Lepisosteus oculatus: one gene and its partner. The protein of the gene in region 1 binds, or shares a complex with, the protein of each later gene. Links are inferred from orthologs where the notes say so. Each region holds a gene or a part of one and is shown in the gene's direction. Other genes may lie near its edges.

Region 1 (11,229 bases):
TGGCTACATTACTCTGCTCTCCTCCCCACTGATAGCTGATGTGTGGTGAGCGTTCTGGCACACTATGGCTGCCGTCGCATCATCCAGGTGGGTGCTGCACATTGGTGGTGGTGGAGGGGAGTCCCCACTACCTGTAAAGCGCTTTGAGTGGAGTGTCCAGAAAAGCGCTATATAAGTGTAAGCAATTATTATTATACTGCCTGTCACTGTGCTACCATGCCGCCCAAATCAACACTTATATTTTTATATTCTGTTTACCTTTTAACCTCTTTTCCACATTATCTTGAAAATGAACATCATTAACCAAAATGTATTTTCTTATATATTAATTCTTTGCATCCAGTGTTTCCCAGCTTATGTCTTTGCTTAATATTATTTTGCTAGCTGAATGTAACCCATTTCTAGTTCACTAACTAGAAGAGAAAATAGATTATGGACATAGACATGGAAGATCCTAAAACAGACACATGTGGTACTCCAATAAGTATACAATTCTGTGAAAAAGTATTTTCCCCTTTCAGATTCTCTGTATATTAGCATTTTTGTTATTTGTTGAGCTTCATGTGGGCCGTAGTGATACTGTATATAAAGAAATTCTTAGTGAACAAATAATACCAATGTTTGTTGACTGTTTCATTTATTTCATATACTGTATGTAGTCATCCAACATCCAATGTCTCCATGCAAATAAGTAATGGTACCCTAGTGCAATCAATTCAATTAAAAAGATAACAAGAGCCAGCTGTGTGAGTACTTTATTTTTGAGCCAGGCCTGCACTATATAAAACTTACAACATTTGGCTCTCATGAGCAGAGTGATCCAATGGCTACAAGGGATACACCCTCTATTGGATTCCAGGGCACACACAGACAAACATACATACACACAGTCACACCAGGGCCAGTTTTCCCAGACTCCATAGCCTACCAGTATGTATTTGTATTGTGGGAGGAAACCAGAGCATCCGTTGGAAACCCATATGAACAATGAGAGATCATTAAAAATCCACACAGACAGCAATGAAAAAAGAACTGAACCCAAGAATGGTATCATTCCACATTAATTTGGCCCCAGTGTCCTGGCCAATTTTCCCCCTGGCCTTTATCAATAATATCCTCCTAATAATCCCCATCTATGAATTAGCTTTATTACTCTAATAGCTGACAACTGATGTGTGATGAGTGTACTGACACACTTTGGTTACAATTGCATCATCCAGGTGGATGCTGCACATAAGTGGTGTTGGAGGGGAGTCCCCATTACCTGTAAAGCACTTTAAGTGGAATGTCCAGAAAATCACTACATACTGTAAGTGTAATAATAATAACCTACAGGTCAGAAAATGTTTAGACAACCACAGTATATAAAGTAGTCAAGCCCTTGAAACTCCTATAGTCCATAGTTTTTCCTCTCTAATTTGGCTTACCAGCTCTCTGTTTATATATCTATCTGAAGTATTATTTATGAAAGCTATATTGTGACATCTCAGTCATTCATACTTTCAGGATGTTGTTTTTTACTCTGATCTACTATTGTAATTTTCCCCAAATGCACATACTATTTCTTATTTTTTAGTCTTTTTGTGCTCTATCTTTTAGAATAAATAAAAACTAGCTTTGGGTGGTTATTACAAAAATTATTTAATTGCTTTTAAACACACTTACTGGCTAATTACCTTTTTTGTGTTTATTCCTTATATTGAACTTCATTTTGTAAGTAATTATATTCCTTAATGTTTACATTTTAACAAACTTTAGTATGATCCCCTTGTAAATGTCTTTCATAAATGGATTTTTATTATCATTTAAAGGTTTAATAAATATAGTTTTAAAAAGTACTTTTTTAAAATCGTTGAACTAGTATCCTTCTCCCTTATATTTACAGACACTATAGTTTTCCACTTATTATACCACCTCAATAGAAAATGTCACCCCTTGTCTATAATTTGTGTTAACTATCTACTGTAACTAGTTTGTAATCCAAATATGCACATTATCATTCATCATTGCTTACACTTATATAGCACTTTTCTGGACACTCCACTCAAGTCGCTTTACAGGTAATGGAGACTCCCCTCCACCACCACCAATGTGCAGCATCCACCTGCAGCCATAGTGTGCCAGAACGCTCACCACACATTAGCTATCGGCGGGGAGGAGAGCAGAGTAATGAAGCCAATTCATAGATGGGGCCAATGGGAAATTTGGCCAGGACGGAGGGGTTACACCCCTACTCTTTTCAAGAAACACCCTGGGACATTTCATGACCACAGAGAGTCAGGAACTCAGTTTTACATCTCATCCGAAGGATGTTTACAGTATAGTGTCCCCATCACTATATTGGGGCATTAGGACCCACATGGACTGCAGGGTTAGCGCCCCCTGCTGGCCCCACTAACACCTCTTTTAGCAGCAACGTTAGTTTTTTCCCCAGGAGGTCTCACATCCAGGTACTGATCAGGCTCACACCTGCTTAGCTCCAGTGGGTTGCCAGTTGTGAGTTGCAGAGCGATATAGCTGCTGGCTTTTACCTTAAATGTCTGTTTTCTTCAATTTGGAAAACATATTTAAATTCTTCAATCCTGCCAGGTTTCATTCCAATTTAGCATATTGGCTTAACTGGGCTAGTTTAACAACTTTTCTCAGGTCCAGGTCAAGGATCAGTGACCATTATACTAAAGTGTAAAGCATATACAGTAGATGTTCCTGTGAGTTAGAAAATAAAACATAGTATAAGACTAAAGGTGTGGAAAAGGATTTTTGTTGCTGTTGCACTTAATTTGCTTTATAATGGTGCAAGTGTGCATAAGAGCAAATCATAACAGCACATGCAATCTGTATTTTAGTAATCCCACGGCTGAGAAAATACATGATAAAGTGGACAACATTAAGGTTGTACTGTATGTATTGTTTCTGAAAACTGTAAAAGAATTCACTCTAAATAACAGCTGCTTTCTGGCTTAAAAAGCCTTAAGCATTCATTGTCTAATCATTGAATGAGGCTTTTTCCTAGTTCTTGAAGAAAGCTGTTCACTATCATTTTTTTTCTAAACCCTTTTGACTTTTACCATTTATATTTCATCTAACATCACTGCTAAGATCATCTTGATACCATCTTCAACACATTCTTCCATTTCACAGACCTCATTTAAACATGAAACAACCTACACTATCATATCAGTAGAGGATTCAAACATTAAAGTATTTGCTGCCACCTACATGTATATACGATATCTTCTTCACAAATAGTAGTGCCTGCATGCACAAAGGGGATTATAAAGTAACTGCTTGATTTAACAAGTGTTCATTCCCCCTATACTGTAAACCAGAGGAAAATAGATAACATACAGTGGTAATCCTGTGCGCAATAAAAATAGGCTGCTGTTATGCTTATTGTGCCACAACTCTAATTGAGAGTTCTCTTGTCTAAAGCACATAGGTTTCAGCTTTGGGAAAATCCTCTAATCCACTTGTTAGGAACATGGCCTTTGTTTGGGGATTTGTAGGTGACATGTATGTAATGTGTGATACTGGTTAAACAAAAGAGTGGTTTTGAAAGTCTGAGCCTATACAAATCATAATTTGCACAGCTTCACTTGAGAACTGCTTATCTATTGAGATCTCATAACAAATTTCGCGTTTTTCAGCTGAAATAATTTAAAATTCTGCATAGGAAAAGCCTGATACCAATGCAAAATAAATTGACTATACAGAATTTTAGGTTTTCTCTCAATGATTTGGGAAAAAATGGCAAAAAAGTGCAGAATTTTTGAAAAGACAAAAATTCAAATCAAAGATGATTACTGAGTTGGTCTGATATTATTTCAGGACAGTCCTTACATTTTTGTGAAGCATTAATTATGGATTTTAACTTTATTTAATACTGAAATTGAAAAACGACGGTTCCGGCGACATTATTACACTGATTTTTATAAAGTAGTGTACTGTATGTGAGATGAAATGGAAAGACTTTAGGGAGAGAGGGTCATAGATACGGTATAAGCGTTATCATATCACGTAATTCAAAACATCGCTCTCTGATGTTTTATGTTAGGAAGAGAGGAAACTCACAGGTTTAACGCCAGTATCTGTCCATAAAGAAAAAACAAAACTTAAATAATCACCATGCGTTATCCTACTGAAGTAGTGTGTATAGCAAATAATTTGTCTCATTTGTCATATAGCTGCATTTTAACTGTGTAGTGTCACATCAATCTGCGGGTCACCAGATGTTTAGTAGAAGTCTAAATTGATAGGAATTCTTAGTTATATGAGATTAAATATACCAGGCTCAAAGAAAAAACGTCTTCGACATACTTAGTAATGGGAAGCATACTATACACTTCCTATACTTAATTAAAAGTTAAAAATAAACTTAAAATATTATCTCTACATTGAATGGAATTACAGTAAAACACATTATCTTTACAAGAACAGTAGAGCACGGTGTACTTTATATACAGTATACATATTGCTGTGAACAACGTGCTTTTTAAAATGATACACGCTACTCTAATCTGAATTATATAGAACTATTAACTATACATTAACGATGCTATATATAAAACATGACAGTATTTTGTTTTGAAATGGTTAAAAGACATACCTTTGTCCAAAAGTTTGATTTTCATTTGAAATAAAATTGGTCACATTACAGGTATTAAAAGAATATGTATCGATAAAATAATGTATTCATAGCTTTTATTATTACTTATTAGCTACTTCTTCGCAGCTGGTAATCACAGAAAATGAATCCATAAAATCTTCAGAATAAAAGTTTTACCAAAGGTACGATGCATTATTGATTCATTTTTGACCATTTTTGCGATCGCTTTCCCTTGTCTCTTCTCCGTTTTATTGTTTTGGATTTTCCGGACACTGAAATTATAAAGAAAATAAAATGCAAAATTTAGAAATGCCACGAAGAACATTTAAATATATAAAAAATACAAATACATTACATTATTTCAAAGTTAGGCAGAGTTTTGCAACGTTTTTGTTTTCCTGGTGCTCAATATTTGAAAACACCTCGCATCGAGTGTTTATCAATGATACTTACTGTAAATATAATAAGAAATAAAACTTTTTAAAGAGTCTCTTCTGGACTGATGGTGATGATGATGATCATTATCATCATCATTCCAACTCTACTACTAAAAATATAGAATTCAGGATATTTTAGGGGTTTTGAAGTTCTTCAACTATTAAGAAACACTGCTAATAATTTCGCTCGTCTTGTCTGAGTTTAGGAGGGGAAAGGTTTTATTAGGATGGTAAAGGATGTCTATGTTATTGCAATACAGTATCTGAAAATGAAACATTTTGTGGTGGCACTACGCGATACGCCTGTTTTATGGTTAACCAGGAATTAATATTTAATTCCGAAGTCTAGATGCGCTGTTTAATCTGCGTGATAATTCAAGGCACGTATAGGTTATTCTCATTTGACTTTGTTCATATTACCTTACATTTTTCATAGCAAAATTATGCATTTTCTATTAATGTAGACAATTTTATTTTTTAGACACGAAAGTACAACAAAAACAATGTGTGTTTTTCTTTAGAAATAAACCACATAAAAAAGTCCAAAATATTATTAATGTATTTTAATAATATTCAGTTTCTTGTCAAGTAAGCATGTGGGGTACAAACATGAACACAGATAAGTGAGACAGGGGGCAAAAACATCCTCGCAGTCTTCACTTCTCCCCGGTTACTGTGAAGCTGTCTCCCCAGGGAGCCAGCTTTGAAAACCGCTATAAAACAGCTCAAGGCTTCAGAAATGCTACGCCACAGCTGGCAAATCACCGATTTGAACATCAGAAACTGGGAGGGGTCGAGTCGTTTACCTGACTTCCTTTCGGAAAACCCTCCTCCCCTTACTCTACCCCATTCCTTAACCCGCGCTGATCTCACTTGCATTCATTCGATTGACTCAAAACTGCAGCGGAGGAACAGTAGCACAGAAACACTGTCGCTGCAAGCTTTGATCTGAGGACTTTTTCTTTATTGGATCTCTCAGGCGGGGAACAACTCAACTGACTTCGTAACTTTTGATGGAAAACGGGAAATTTGACATCGTCTGCTAACTTTGGCATCTTTAAAGGTATCGTTTTTTATTTTCCCAACTACGGTTACTAACACCTGCTATGATCTGCCTATGTGCGTTCTCTATCAAACCCAAAAGTTTACCTTTGCTCTTATCTCATTTACTTTTACTAGAACTCTTACTAGTTATATTTAGAAAAAATAATTGACGATCTGTGAAGAGCTAAATTACGTAATGTTGATATAGTCAGTTTAAAGTTATTTTTCTTAAATAATATTTAATTTAATAATCATTGTATATATGATTTATGATTACAGAGAAAGTAAGGTGATGGAAATATGTCTCTATATACTTTTGCCCAACCCATACGTTGTTTTTCCTTATAAAATAAAGCCACAAACGTGTTTTGGAAACGGGAAGCTGGGACGATGATAGGCAAGAAACACCGACTACGTACAGTGCAATAATTTCGTTTAGCTTTAGTAATTTGCTCTGTGATTTCGGGGAGGGGTGAGAGGGACAAGGGGGAGACTACAGTAGGATTTCACAACTATAACGGTGACTGCCATTACCAGTCATTTTAGAAGGGTTTTAGGTGGATTACAAATCCCCGTACTGAAGAGATTGTAAAGCACTGTTAAAGTTTTGTTTTGCATCTAATTAACTATGATGAAAGTAGAGACCCATTCAGTGAATCTGAATTGCACCGCTGCGACTTTCACCTACAGTACAGCGCACCTGAAGTACATACTGTAGATAATGTAGTTGACGTTAAGGGAAGGATGTAGTGTAACGTAATGGATACTGTCTTGTACCGTTTAGAGAGACTAGTACTGTCTTAAATCTATAAGTTTAGTGACTTATGTGGTCTGTAAAAAAAACAGACTTTTAATCTGAAGTAAGGGTGTAAATATAATTCCCGTGAAAATAAGATTACATAAAAACATGAATAGAATATACGATGAATTAATTCCGTTACGAGATCGTAAATAATTTAAATTAAGACGTTGACACTCAATGTACTGTCAAACAGCTTCAGATGCTTCTTGGAATTTATGAGGAGTACCTGAGATGCATAATTAATTGCATTTTTTCATTATTTGTTTTTTAATTAAAAAACTTTTCTCTTCGTCGTTACATTTTCTAAGATTGCTCTGTCTTTACTATTTGAAATATTGCTCCATCATATATAAGGTAAATCTGGTGGAAAACGCAGGATTGCTTGAGGAAGTGAGGAAGATGTCATCATTCAAAAAGCTCTCTAAATCCGTGAGTTATCTAATGAGTACCTTTCATCACTAGAGTTTATTTTAATGGAAAAGATTGTTCCCATCCATACATTTATTACTGTAAGTTTATATTATCACTACATTTTACTTTCCATCGGTAAATGATAGGCTGTTTAGCAGTTTCCTAAACCTTGGCACATAGTATTCATGTGCTTGAGTTGTCTGGCTAAGTTTGCACCAGATATTTCATTTTAGACTGTAATCTTTCCTGAAATACAGGTAGAGGCTTTTAAGACTCCTTTTATAAAACGGCAGTTACCAAGGATACTGGCGTTAAGTATAAAATTTGGATAAAATTAAAAAAAACTTTTATCCCCAGTGGATCAAATTTACATGAAATTGGCAAATGTATGTCTGTTGAGTACTTAGTGGTAATAAATGTAGTTGATCTGTAAAAAAAAATAACTGAATTGCATACCGAAGCTTAAAATGCTTCTGGTTACAGGAAAAAAAGAACATCTTACCAGACAAGATAATCAGAAGTATCTTTGAAAGCTTTAGTGCAATTATAGTTTGTACCTTATATTTTGAAAACTGACCCAGAAGTTATCTGAAGTTGTGAAAAGTGGCAAATGTATACGGTATCTGTTGATTACTTTGTGGTTATAAATGTAGTTGATCTGCAAAGAAATAACTGAATCACCTTTTCTCTTATACAATTTTTACATTGTATGCCAAATTATACTCATACCTGTCAGAGAAGAATTGGTATGACCTCGGCTTAATTTCCACTAGGTACAGTAATCCATTAATTAGACTTACAGTTATGCATCTTTTAAAAAAGTCATTTTGCAATTAAAGGCCAGGCTTTTGAGTTTGAAGTGTATATATTTGAAAATAAACACTTTAAGTCCTTTGGAATCTAATGAAATTACCAGATGGGCTTGGTTAATTGGGGTGCAAAGGTGAATTTTGAAACACTGCGAGTGGCTGACTCTAAAATGTATAAATCTGTAACACTTTTCTCAGGAAGTGAAAAGCAGCATATCTGCTTAAAGAAAAAAAAAATATTTGGTTGAGTACCTCAACACCCTTTCCAACTGGGAATGGAGATTTTTGCATGTGTGAGGTCAAAATTAATTATGAGCCTTTTCTGTGGTTTTGCTGTTGATGCATGATATTTTGACGTAAACGAATTGTTTTTTGAGTAAGAATGGTAAATGCATATGAGATCACTAATGGGAAGTTGTACTGTATCATTCAAGCAGTGCGTGGGTGTCTGTAAATTAGCTCCATTGTATTTTTTAGCTTTATGGTCCATTGTTGCACACTGAAGTTCACATCAGCAAAATTTTGTTTTTTAATCTTCGTTCTGTCATCTGTTCTAACAACTTTAATAGTGGAAAAATATTGTAAAACAAATTACCTCAAAAATATTTCTTCTACAGTATAATCCGCTGCAACTATTTAACATGCATGTCGTGACAATCATGTTGATAAAACTGACATACTTTTGTTTTGCATCATTAAAATAGACCCATTTAGTCAAAAATACACTTAAAGTGTAGATTGATCTTAATTTAAAAATTTCCATGGAAAAACACTTTGTATTGCAGACACAAACAGAAATGTATGTAAACTTTTCAGTATAATGGAGAGAGGTCCTCTATAATGTATTTACTCAGCACTGGGAAAGAATTGATTATTAAAATGGATTTTAATTTAGCTCCTTCTAGCTTTATATTATTCTTCAAGACTCCATTTTCATTTTGTTTATGGATTTTGGATCCTTTTAATAAAATATGTTATGAATCAATGTTTTCAGGGTTTGGAATTACTCCTCAGTAGAACTATCTACTAGGTTTAAGCACTGTGCATCACCATTATTTGCAATGTTATTGACATACATTTGGAAGTAGCAAAAACAAGTCAGCTTCTGTGGAAATCCAGTGAAGATATATTTGTTTATTATCTACACAGTTGTTATTGATAAAAATAATAGAAATACATACAGTACAAATAATGTAAACCTTATTCATTCTTCTATAAAGATAATATACAATTAAAAGGGGGATAAATTATTAGAGTGGGTCCTGGACATCATGCACAAATAAGCTATAGCCTTGTGCTAGAGTTGTTAGAAATCATGTCAATTCTTGTAAGTCCTTTTAGACTTCTAAGGCAATTTATAAATTGTGAACGTTATTAGCAACATTCTCAGTCTTACTGTATACTTTCATAGATGACTAAAAAGTGTATTATGCATTCAGCAGGTGTGCAAGTGTTGAGCACTCTTCTGATCTTTATGCGAATGTGTTAACCCCGCTTGTTGGCATGACATAACTTCATTACATACTGTAAGCTCTGAGAAATTGTGCCGATAAAGAGATCCTTAAACCATAACCTGATATAGATTAAATGCAGATGCAGAACTGTACGCTCCTTAAGTACTATACTAATGCTCTAGGGAAATGCTGTTTATCAACTGTCAGTGTTTTGTTATTAATAAAAAACACAATTTACTTTTCACTTCTTAGGTTTCCCTCTTCTTTGATAAAAACAAAACACGTTCAGACATTGTGATAAAATGGTGTTACAGCAGAACCAAAAATATGTGATTTCTTTAGAAAAGAAACGTTTCCATTAAGTGTCTGGTTTGAAGAATACAAAAGGGGCTGCTAGTGATACTGGAAATTCAATATATTCTTTAAACTAGGACAGTCTCCTTATGAAGTATTTAATGGATGGCTTGTAAAATTAATCATTTTTTCAGTCAATTTTTCCCAGGACAAGAAATCTAGCAAATACGGTATGCGTTCTTTTAAGAATTTCAGAATGATGAAGTATGTATTGTTTGCTACCAGCACTGGCAGGAAGTCATACCATTTTTGTTTTCTGGTTTTTGTGTTGTGATATGAACCCTGATGATCCCTGCCCAGATTCAGCTTGGCCTGAAGTTTACATCATATTCAGAGCTAATTGGTACTTAATTTGTCAGTTTTATCTCAGAGGAGGTAAGGGGGAAACACATTGTGAATGTGATCTTGATATAGTAATGTTTTTTTCTCACACATAGAAGGTTGGTGAATGTCATTGTTCAAAACAAGACATTGTAAATTTGAATGAGGTTTTATGGCTTAATTGAAAAAGGTTTGAAATGTGTATGCAGAAATATATGTTTTACAAAGAAGAAAACAACATTCTCCTGCACTGAACCTCTGAGACCAATTAGTCTATACATCAATTATTTTATGTGAAAGAGCTCAGTGAAGTGAAATGCTGCGAGATACAGGAAAACAGATATGTGTTTGTGTGTGATTTCTCCTGAATTTACTTGCATGCTTTCTATGACAAAGTAAAATCTCATAAAATAATCCATCTTTTCGTAGTCTGATATTTTAAAGACAATTCTAAAAAACACAAAATGGTTTGCAACGTTTTGCATTTTCAACTGCTTACCATTTTAAGAGATTATATTGTTAGTCGATCACTGGAGGCTGTGATGTCACCAAACAACATAAACTGGGATTGAAGAAATCTTCTTCCAAATCTGGTTTCCAAATGCTTACTTTCGAGACACTGGTTCAAAATGTGTTCACAAAATTCGAACAAAGGTTGTTAAAAATCCAAAACCAATGTATAATTACAAGAATGGATATAAACCCCTATAGTATGATAAGCAGCAAGCTGTATTGTTTATGTGTATTTCATTATTTTTATTTATGAAAAGTATTTATTAGACTTATATAAAATCTGCTAGTCAAGAGAGTCACAAGAGATTTAAAACCTTAATAATTTCTATTAAAGGGCTGAGAAGGGGTTTACACAAAAGAACCCCCCCACCTCACCCCCTCACTGGTATAGTGAATGGCAGAGGACTGCTACTTTGGCTATTGTGGGTTTCTGTAATCTGTCCCACTTAAGGGATGAGGCCTGATTTCCCACCTGAGA
Region 2 (11,259 bases), on another chromosome or scaffold:
GCAGCGGCCGAGACTGTCTATTGCACCGCCCGTCTTTCTCTGCACATCAGGAACAAAGTTCCAAACTCGAAATGAGGAGGTTCAGGCGCCGGTTCTTCTAGTTTTCAATGTTTCCCAAATACGTTGTGTTGTAACCGGAGAAAAAGCCCCCCCGCCCCAAACAAAAAGCCTAGAGCTTAACATCGATCAAGACTTTCTGCGCTAAGGCCCTTTACAAACCGATCGTTCTTTTCTTTAAACAGGATTCTCCCCTTAGACGTGTCAAATTTATATTTTAAGAATTTGTTGTTGAGAAAATCGGATGTATTTTTCTCCGTAAATACATGAAAAAATAAAAATAACCAGCACATTCGATATGCCCTCCTCTTTCAAAAGTAATAGACAGGAACGGGCATTAATTGTTATGGTGTGACTCTTTAAAAAAAAACGTTCTTTTGCTCATAAATCGTTGGAGTCACCCGGCGTCATTTCGAACATTTCCAGGCGAGTTTATAACATTTATCCACGTACACATGTTTCTGCTTATTTGAATGAAAACGAAGCAGATGCTACAGCGCCGTCACAACCGCAAGATATAATTCGTTTATGTTGCCGCTTAGGAAAAGGCGAACTCGCTTCCAAAGAAGCTTGTTTTTATTGGAACAAAAAAAAAAACCTAAAAGAGGAAAAAATATAAATCATTGTAAAGCAAAGGGAACGGTTAAATAATAATAACAACAATAAGATATTGCATTACCCACAGGTCTCAGTGTACTGTACAGGGAAGATAACATTTAGGACACACAAAAGATGTAATCGGCGTGTTTTTATTTGGAAGACGAGTATGAAAGAGCCCCGAGCTTATTCGTTACTCTGCCCAACATGTGTGCCGGCGAGAAAAGAGTCAGCCGTCAGAGACGGGCATCTGCGAGCCGGGTTTTTGTGGAAACGGCTATTCATGTCAGGAGGCTTTTCAGGGGCGAAGATGGATTCGTGCCCGGTCCGGCGTTATCGTGTGCTTCTTCTAACCTTTCAGGTCAGCTTGCAAGAGCCCGCTGGAGAGAGACGGTCACGTGACCCCTGGGGCCAATGTTCTTCCAGAAGGTCGTCAGGACCCTGGTAGCCGGTGCAACTAATTTCGGAGATGCAGAAAACGACCTACTACGACAACTCGACACTTTTCGGAGGCTACTCGTACCAAGGAGCCAACGGCTTCGGCTATGAGGCGCCCCAGCAGACCTTCCAGGCGTCGGCCCACCTGGAGAGCGACTACCAGCGATCGGCGTGCTCGCTGCAGTCCCTGGGCGGCGGCGGCGGCGGCGGCCCGCCACACGCCAAAGCGAAAGACCTCAACGGGAGCTGCCTGCGCCCCAGCCTGCCACCTGAGCACCCACAGGCCCCCCCCGTCTCCCCTCCCCAGAACCCTGCCAGCTCCGCCAACAGCAGCTCGGCGCAGCAGCCGGGCGGCAGCAGCAGCAGCAAAGCCGCCGCCGCCGCCAGCAAGGCCTCGTCCCTCCCCCCCAACCCCAACCTCACCAAGCAGATTTTCCCCTGGATGAAGGAATCGAGACAGAACTCGAAGCAGAAAAACAGCTCCCCGAGCGCAGGTACAGCTCACGGGGTGTCCTTCCCCCCCCCACCTTCCTCGCTTGATTATGACGGGGTTGTTTTTTTTTTTTGGTACCCGATTATTTTTCTACCCCCTTTCATCAGTCGAAAAACGGTGCAAACCAACGCTGTCTGGTGTCCGAAGAGAAACGGCCATGGAGCTAAATCCTGCAAGGCGATAGGCGTTTTCTTCTGTTTATTTTTGACACAGACTTAGGTAAAGGAGAGGGGGGGGTGGATACCTTTGGTGTTGCCACCACTTGAAAACCGGATGCTGTAGTGTGGGTTGTGCCTCCAACACCACAAATGATGTTGCTACGGCTATTTAGAATCATAGATATCATAAGAGGAAAACTGTCAACGTAGAAGACAAAAAGGCCTCCGTTCATCACGCGTGGACTCGCTTTTAACTGGTTTAAATGTGGTTCCGCACCTGTTTGTGGAACTGGGTGGCACCGAGCTGCCCGCAGAGGAAGAATCACACTGCACTTCTCTAATAGATAAAAGGCTCTGTTATATATGAGCTCATCACTAGTGTTAAGATATGCAAATGCCCTAATTCACCCAGCTGCCCCCCCCCCGTAATAAACTAATTTTGGCATTACCTACAGCTACAGCGCTAAATATAACAGGAGAGGAATATAGCTAGAGATCTATTTATAGATATGACTGACGTCACGCACATGCAACTTACATCGCAGGTGCAGGGGAGACCCATTCGCGTGCGTCTTGCACGTGGGATCTCACCCGCGCTCGTGCTGGATAAATAAGAGACATGGGGCTGATATAGCGCCTTTAAAAGCCATCAAGTCAACTAGATGCGCGAATACAATATTGGTGCATTGCAAGGGGCTGGCGTTTGTTTTTAATACAAATTAATCGCAGGGAAAGTCGTTCCAGCTGCGTTATTGGCTATAGGGCGAGCGAAGCAATTTACATACACCAGGTCAGCGGTGGGGCGCAGATCTCTTAATAAACGCCACTGTTATGAAGAGGCGACAACTAATATAGAGGGGTTAAGTTTCCGTGCCTGTTCCCTAGTTTATTAGGAAACGATGCATTCAATTTCTGTATGTAGTAATTATCTTTTATTTCATTTCCACCCAGCGGAGAGCTGCAGCGGCGAGAAAAGCCCCCCGGGCTCGGCCGCCTCCAAGCGCGCGCGCACGGCCTACACGAGCGCGCAGCTGGTGGAGCTCGAGAAGGAGTTCCACTTCAACCGCTACCTGTGCCGGCCGCGGCGCGTGGAGATGGCCAACCTGCTGAACCTCAGCGAGCGGCAGATCAAGATCTGGTTCCAGAACCGGCGGATGAAGTACAAGAAGGACCAGAAGTCCAAGGGCATGGGCTCCTCCTCGGGGGGGCCCTCGCCGACGGGGAGCCCCCCGCTGCCCATGCAGTCCTCCGCGGGTTTCATGCACTCGATGACGGGCGGCTATGACGCGCCTTCCCCGCCCGCTTTTAACAAGCCTCACCAGAACGCCTATTCCGTGTCCACAGCCTACCAAAACCCCATGAAAAGCTGCCCTTCCCAACAGAAGTACGCCAACACAGCGCCAGAATACGACCCCCACGGTCTACAGGGTAACGGCAACAGCTACGGAACTCCTAACATCCAGGGTAGCCCGGTCTATGTCGGCGGGAACTATGTGGATTCCATGGCGGGCTCCGGCCCGACCCTGTACGGCCTGAACCACATGGCGCACCACCAGGCCAACAGCATGGACTACAACGGCGCCGGGCAGATGCCGCCGAGCCAGCACCACGGACCGTGTGACCCTCACCCGACATACACCGACCTCTCAGCGCACCACCCGCCTCCGGGCCGAATCCAGGAGGCGCCCAAGCTCACGCATCTGTAGCAGGTTTGGCACGCGAAGGGGACACTAACACGCGGGGGCGCCTGCGACGGGATCGAGCAGCAACGGCAACAGCAACGGAAAGATCCAGTGGTTTCTCGTGTCCCGCGAAGCGTGGAAATTCGGATGGCTTTTGTTTTTTTTTTTTCATTTTAAAAATAAGCGAGAGACAGAAGAGTTCCACACGTTTTCTTTTCGGTTGACGTGCAATTGTACGTGTGACGTACCCCCTGACCACCCTTTTTTTTAAAAAAAAAACAAACAAAAATAATTCAGAAACGGGGTAAGACGGGGTAATTGTAGTCGGTTAACCCAATAAAATCCGCCATATATTATATGTATATGGGCCGTGCCGCTGTGCGTGTAGGCTTTTCAGCACAAAGTCTCCTCAAGGTGATTTTGTGGTGTGTGGGGGGGCTTTTTTTTAGTCTTTCTGGTAATTTCCAGTGTTTTGTACATCGTCGCCCAGACAGAGGTTCCCAGCTAGTGAACGATCAGTCCCTGGCACCAAGGAAACCACTGGATTGTCGGCTCTCGCTTTCTTTCCTTACCTCTATCCTCCAACGTCACCTTAACTCACCCTCCCCCTGCGCCCGCGCCCACCTCCACGGATAGCGAGAAGAGAGGCGAGCAGCTCAAACTTAGTCTTCAGCACAGCGTCTACAAACGGGAAGCTAAGTTCACGCGTCACTCCCCCTGCCACCCCCACCTCTGCCCGTCTTCTCTGCTCCGAGACCCCACCTTTCTCTCTGTCTGTCTTTAGGGTTCACTTACATGAGGTAGCACCAATGCAAAACAACCCCCCCCCCACCTTTATCTTCTCTTGACTTAACGTGAAAACAGGGTATATTTGAACACAATGCGTGCCCGAGGAATGAAGCAGAAGTGAAGATGTTTCGGTTTTCGCTCGTGCTTCTTGTCCCGGCATCATTGTTGCACTTAGAGTTTACATTTTAATGGGTAAAAGAAAATAATGAAACAACTTATTTTCGAAGGAAAGACCTCCAATCAGCTCAATCGTGGCCGTCTTTCTATACGTGTGTTCGAGTGAACATTCATAAATATATATATTTATTTGTTATAGCCAGTTTAAATATTTTCTTTTTTGTATTATTTATCCCCCCCGACATTATGTATTTATATCAAGAAAAAAAAATGTACTTTTTTAGTATTGATCTGTTACGAAAGACGTTGTGTTCATGTCATTGTAAGCAAATTTCTTTTAGTTCTTGTATTCTAGGCAGATGAGTGGTTTTATGTCAGCCTTGTACATATAAATAATGTAATGAGTTATACTGCAGGCATGAGGACGGACCCAGACTGTTACTGCATAGTGGCGAATTAGAAGTCTAGCTTAACTTCCTTTTCGAAAATCTCCTTTTGTTCCTGGTAGTTACTTTTCCTTTCCTTGCTGAGAGTTGTCTGTTGAACAATTCTTTGAATAAAATTTTCTGTTATTCATTTTTTCTCGTCTTTTACGCGTCTGCACGATGCACACGCCGGGGGAATCACGACACGGTTTCTCTCTCTCCCTCTCAGACAGACACACACACACAACTGCGGTTTCAATTTGTAAGCTCAATCCTCCTCCTCCTCCTCTCTCTACCCAGAACCGCCGGCAGGGAGCCGGAAGTGCCTCGCCGCCGTGGGTGGGTCACGTGCGCTTCAGCCAAACACTGGCTCGCTTCTGCCAGGGATGCAGAAGGCGGGCGAGAGAGAGGCACTGATTTCTCCCTGGTACAGGCCTGTCCACCCTGAAGATGTCCGTCTTCACACATCCTTGTGACCGTGGTGTGGTGCTTCCAGGGGAGATGGTCTGTGAGGAAATGTGTCTCACATAACGGTGTGGGATGCGTAGGAAAAAACAAACTGCGAGAATCAGGGGGAAAGTCTGCGTGAAATAATTATTTACATAGCGCACAAGAGTCCCCTTTTCCATGGCGCAGTCGTGTATTCTCGCAGCGGCAGGTCTTGTTTTTGATGTGTTTCCCCCCGGTTGCTGTTTTTCATTTGATATGCAAGGAAGCCATTTGGTTGAACATCTTCAACCAGCGCCGCGAAGGCACACGCCCGGCCGTCCCCCTTCTGTGAGAGCAGCAAGGCCCCTTCTCTTCAGGAATACCGTTTCAATCGCGGACAGCGTCGCCGAGGAGAGTTTTCCGAGATTCCGCGAGCATTATTTATTGATGGATCGGTGAATTGAAAATAGAAATCCCGCCCCTCGATGATTTAAAAGAGTACGCCGTCAGAGAGGCACGGAATGACCCGACTTTTTTGTTTTGTATCAATGCCAGTTTGCAGCTTTCACATTGTTGCACATTTATTTTCCAGATAAAACATGATTACAAATAACAATAAAAAAGAAACGAAATTTCAACAGACAGGACGAAAAGAACTAAGAACAAACATCCTATGCAATATTCTATAGAATACAGATAGTCTAGCATTCAAGTAGCTGACGTTTTAGATTTTGGAGAATCGAAAGTAGTTTTTTTCGCTAAACCTCTCAAATACAAGCTGCGAATCCTCCGCTCCTTACATCGCCTGCTTGCGGAGTCATCTCCAGAGAGGGCCCGGAGCTGCGTTCAGGATCTCGCCCCGGCGCATTCACCGGAGCGCCTGCTTTGTGCAAGCTTTAAAACGCCTTACACGCCCACGCGAGGTTTTTTTTTTCTCCCTCAGCTTTCCTAATGCCTGCAGAACAATTCAATGGCTAAAAGCACGACATTTTGGGCCCACGCATTTAAATCTCAGAGAAACAGAACAGAGCGAAAGCATTTCTAATCTCATTTTAAAGCCGTGCTAGAAAACCTAACAGTTGCGCCAGGCACCGGTTGTACAGTAACATTTTTTAAACGTGGTGGATTCGAAATTTTTTTTAAATAATAATAATAATAATAATAATAGCTGTAGCTCCAAAGGAAGGACCTCTTTTGTTGTGCTGGGAAGGAAAAGGCAGATTCTTGAGGCCAGTTTGAATTCTGGCTGTCAAGCCCTTTGCTGGGAGAAAGATTGATCACTCCTCACTATTTCGGCACGCCGTTTCTAAAAATACCCTTTCCTTTACATTTCGTTTAAAAAAAAAAACTAGTATCACAATGCCTAATGCGGTTTAAAAAAAAAAGGAAGACTTGTGTATATTTGTCCATGAAGTTTTGCCTGGCACATTTTAGCAACACAATCGAATTGAAATAAAAAAGGGAGATGCTCTCTTGTTCCTGCGACCTCCCAATGAACCCTAGGTGTTCCAGATACTGGAAATAAACACCCCGTTTTAGAAAGCTAAACGTTTCTCGACCACCGGGGCCGTGTTGCGAGACAGCACGTTTACTTCTCTGTTCTCTATGGTTGTCAGCGGCCGCTAAAAATGTATGCCGCTGCATATAACTCGGGTGAATTAAGAACAAGACTGATCTTGAAAAGCCACTTACATTAGCCTGGGTCTCGCCGTATGATCCCACTGCTCGGTTCCCTTTATGAAAAAAAAAGTGTGTAATGGTACCTCTCATCCCGACAGAGAGTGTTGCTGCCCATGCACAGTGTATGTGTGGTGTGTGTAAAAGAGAATATTCTCATTTTAAGCAGAGGGAACGTCAGGTTTCTAACCTGAAAGCCACTGTCTCGGTGCCCACAAGAGGAAGTTCTTTTAACTTCGTTTTGCCCTGTCTGTTGGTCTTGTCAGAACCTTAAAGATTAATGACCTTTGCTCATCACAATGCCCAAGGTTCGCCAGCCTGCGAACGTCTTAATCGCCCCAATTACAGTATACAACACATCTCACCGTCACCCCCACAGTCTGGCGTGGGACTCCCCACAACACTGACGCCCCGAAAACTCTCCTGCGAGAGTCAGGTGCAGACCCGAGATTTTTTATTATGATGATGATGATGAGGCGTCGGAAATGCAACTCCCTAGCAAGTGAAACAAAACCAGGCTCCTGTGTTTTTGGATCAATTGGAGAAAAGCATGCTCTCTTTTTTCCTGCAGGCCCCGAATTTGTAATTGGTCGTTTTGGATCACGTGACGAGGAATTGGTCGCATTTTCGCCCTCGTCTCCACAGTTTAGCAGCCCCAGGTCCCCATACGACAGTAATATCACCAATATACACAATTATTAAAGCCCGCAAAATATCGCAGAGCGGGACCCTCGTTATTACGCGGTGTTTTTTATTTTTTTTTATTATTTGAAGACACCAGCCTTGCTTTCCGACCAGGAGAAGCTATGAATTTTGAATTTGAGAGGGAGATTGGGTTCATAAACAGCCAGCCTTCCCTCGCAGAGTGCCTGACGTCTTTTCCCGCTGTCCTGGAGTCATTTCAAACTCCATCAATCAAGGAGTCGACATTAATTCCTCCTCCGTTCGAGCACACAATCCCCAGCCTCAATCCCTGCACCGGCAGCCAGGCGCGACCCAGGAGCCAGAAAAGAGCTGCAAATGGCCTCTCGCTCCGCACCCCAGCGCCGCAAAGCCCAGCTGCTCCGGCGACCGCGGGGCCGGCGGCGGCCGAGTTCCCGTGGATGAAGGAGAAGAAGTCGTCGAAGAAGAGCCAGCATCTCGGGGCTGCCGCCGCCGCCGCCTCCTCCTCCTCCTCCTCGCCCTCGCCCTCCGCGTTCGCGGCAGCGGGGCTGGACTCGCCGGCAGGTCGGTGCCAGAATTAAAGCTGTCAGCTTTGCTGTTATTTGTAAGAAAAGAGAAAAAAAAGCCGCAGACCGTGAAGGTTTCTAGCACTTTAATTCGGAGAGACTGCACGAAAGGATTTGCCTCGGTGACAACACTAGCTCTTTCCCTGCTAGGAGATATAAATATAGCGTGCGAGACGCAGTTTGTACTTTTCACACGGTGACACGGTGCCACCGGCTCCGAATGACAACGAAATAAGACATTTCTGTGCATTTTTTTCCCCCAAGACGCTTTTGTTTGCCTGACCAAATGAGCAGAGAGAAGGAGGGTATTTCATGGGTGGTGTAACCCAGTGTAACCCAGGCAGGCATTCCCTCTGTGTGAGGGCAAAATCGGTCCCTTTTAGTTTAGGTTGTTTTTTTTCCCCCGTTGCATTTATTTAGAAAATCAGTCGTTCGATATGTTTACTGAACACCCTTTTGAACTGTGATGGCTCATTCAAAGAAAATCTAGCGACAAGGGTCATTATTTTATTTTTCGTGGGGAACTGCAAAATGCATTGACACAAGCAGATATGTGGACGCGAAGTCATGTTTCGATGTACCTGAAAAGAAGCCGACAAAACTGTTGTCTTCAAAAAAAAAAAACGAATCCCTCTCGGTTATATTCATCTCTCAATCCGTTACACTGATACAATCTCGGAATTTGATGGTCTCCAAGTGTCTTAAAGGAAACAAAAAACACACACACAACCTCTGAAGAGGAAGAAAGAGCTCTGGGCACAACTGAAATTTGGCTACAGAAAGGACGTTTGCGTTTCTAAATCATTTCTCTTTATTTTTTGGAAGAGGTGTGTGCATCGGACTTCCTATGCACACATTCCTGTATAATTACATAACGGAGCACAGGGACAGATTGATGAATCGTTTTATGATTTGTTGGAGAATGCTTTCTAGTTACTTATTTTAATGACAGCTAAACAGCACATTTTTTCCATGTCTGATTCTGTGGTTATTTCGACAGCTGGATGTTTTATTCTTTTTTTTTCTTCCGTTTTTTTTGTTTCTTTGCAGAGTCTCAGAGCGGGCTGGAGTCCGGCGGCGGGTCCCGCCGGCTGCGGACCGCTTACACCAACACCCAGCTGCTGGAGCTGGAGAAGGAATTTCACTTCAACAAATACCTCTGCCGGCCCCGCCGGGTGGAAATCGCCGCCCTGTTGGATCTAACGGAGCGTCAGGTCAAAGTGTGGTTCCAGAACCGCAGGATGAAGCACAAACGGCAAACCACGCACCACAGGGAGGGCCAGGATGGAGACCCGGGCGGGTTCGAGTCCGCGGAGGGCGCGGAGCCGGCCTCTCCCTTAGCCGGCCAGCCCCTGGACGTTTCGGGCCCGGCCGCGCCCGAGAGCGAAACGCGCGAACCGTCTTCCTCCTACGCCAGCGGCCAGGACGGCGAGCGGCCCTCCCCTGAGGAGGAGCAGCAGCAGGGCCGCCGCCAGGACCTCGCACCGGGCCCTGACAAAGCTGTCAGGTCGCCTGAGCTCCCCGCGCCCACTCACGATAACCCCACAACAATGAGCCAGGGCCGCGCATCTGGCCCGGATAATGCGTTTCCCGAGCCGCAGGACGCCGCCTCCCTCGCCGAGCTCAATTTCTTCTCCCCCGACTCCTGCCTACAGATCTCAGATGCTTTATCGCCGAGTTTGCGGAGCTCGCTCGACAGTCCGGTGGATTTTTCCGAAGAGGATTTCGACTTCTTCACGAGCACCCTCTGTACCATCGACTTACAGCACTTTCAGTTTTAGGACAGAAAGGGGCAGAGAAGCGACTTTCGTTCTCGAAATTGTAGACTCTCGTAGTCGCCTCAGCTGCAGGAGCTCACCCATATTTCACCCCTAGAACACAGACTTTCATTATCCGGGTTTCCAGTGTAAAACGAACTCGTACGTTATTTAAATGGGATAGAGACTCTACAAATATTCGGTTTCTTACAAGTCCAATCATGTTTTGACTTTCTTGGAAGTCTCTTTTTCCGAACTTCAGGTATTTAATTTTTTATTTTATTTTGATTTTATTTTATTTTTTTAATTTATATTTATTGGCGTTAGAGGAAGGAGTCGCGAACAGTGTAGCCTACTCAATCGATAAACTCTCAGGAAATAAATAAAAAAAATGTGACTGGATAGCGAGCTGCTTTTAGAAATTCTCTCGAAAAGGGTATTGTCCCTCTTTCTGGGTTTTAGAACTAGTTTATTTATTGAGATTCTTTAATAGTAAAATGCAAATTATTTATTGTACATTATTTTCATAGATGAAATAAAACCTTTATAAGCTTGATGAAAGTGTGTGTTTGCATTGTGTAAAAATATTTAGGGTTTGAAGTCCCCGGTGAGCTAAAAGCATTTCACATTAAGTTAGAACATGATTCCAAAAAATAAATTCTGTGAAATTTTTTAAGGATTTTCGCACAGCAATATTTTGGTTAATTTTTTATTTTTTTTTAGATTGGCATACTAATAATTTCTTGCTCAAATTAGAACAATCCAATTAGACTTCTATTCACCAAAATATAGCGAACATTTTGATAACGATGGAAAGTCAGAATAGCTGGTCTGCGTTGTTTCATTAATGTATTTGTTTTGTGTAGAATGTGCAGAATCGGAGCTTGTTTCTATTATTATTATTATTATTATTATTATTATTATTATTATTATTATTATTATTATTATTATTATTTAGAAACGTCAGTAGTTTTCTCCACCAAGTCATGAATAACTAACAAAAAAGCTTAGATTCAATCATTCATCGTTAGGATTATGTTTTATTGAATGAATTGGTTGAACTTTATGAATTATTTCGAATTTCTACAATGCCAAGCAGCACCACTAATATATTCCAAAAATAAAGTAGAAAAATAAATTGAAATTCAAATGAAACGAAATTCAATTGAAAGAAACCAGGAAAAAAAATGCAACGCTGGTCTACGAATTTCTAGGAACTTCGGGGTGTAGAGCTGAGCTCTAGTTTTTGAACAAAGCCCCCCGTCCGGATTTGTGATGCACTTTGTGCAGGGACACACACGTGCCGTGCTAAAAAAAACGCTTTCTTCAGACACGCAATTTTAAAACGAAAAACTCATATATCAGGCAAGTTTGTGAATGAAGAGGGGGGTGGGGGGGGTTCACCGTAGGA

What was found.
Region 2: satb1a (region 1) and hoxb2a share a complex: the UniProt entries of both Homo sapiens proteins name them as parts of the nuclear protein complex. The link is inferred for Lepisosteus oculatus from reciprocal best matches to the Homo sapiens genes SATB1 and HOXB2.

Annotation. Positions count from the first base shown.
Region 1 is NC_090705.1:29,695,200-29,706,428, reverse strand, and holds the start of satb1a (DNA-binding protein SATB1a), read left to right. Parts: upstream 1-5,900; 5' UTR 5,901-6,106; intron 6,107-11,229. UniProt on the Homo sapiens protein: Crucial silencing factor contributing to the initiation of X inactivation mediated by Xist RNA that occurs during embryogenesis and in lymphoma.
Region 2 is NC_090723.1:9,254,521-9,265,779, reverse strand, and holds hoxb2a (homeobox protein Hox-B2a), read left to right. Parts: upstream 1-6,349; 5' UTR 6,350-7,668; coding exon 7,669-8,089; intron 8,090-9,141; coding exon 9,142-9,872; 3' UTR 9,873-10,397; downstream 10,398-11,259. Other genes in the region: hoxb3a (homeobox protein Hox-B3a), read left to right, coding at 1,124-1,586, 2,695-3,449. UniProt on the Homo sapiens protein: Sequence-specific transcription factor which is part of a developmental regulatory system that provides cells with specific positional identities on the anterior-posterior axis.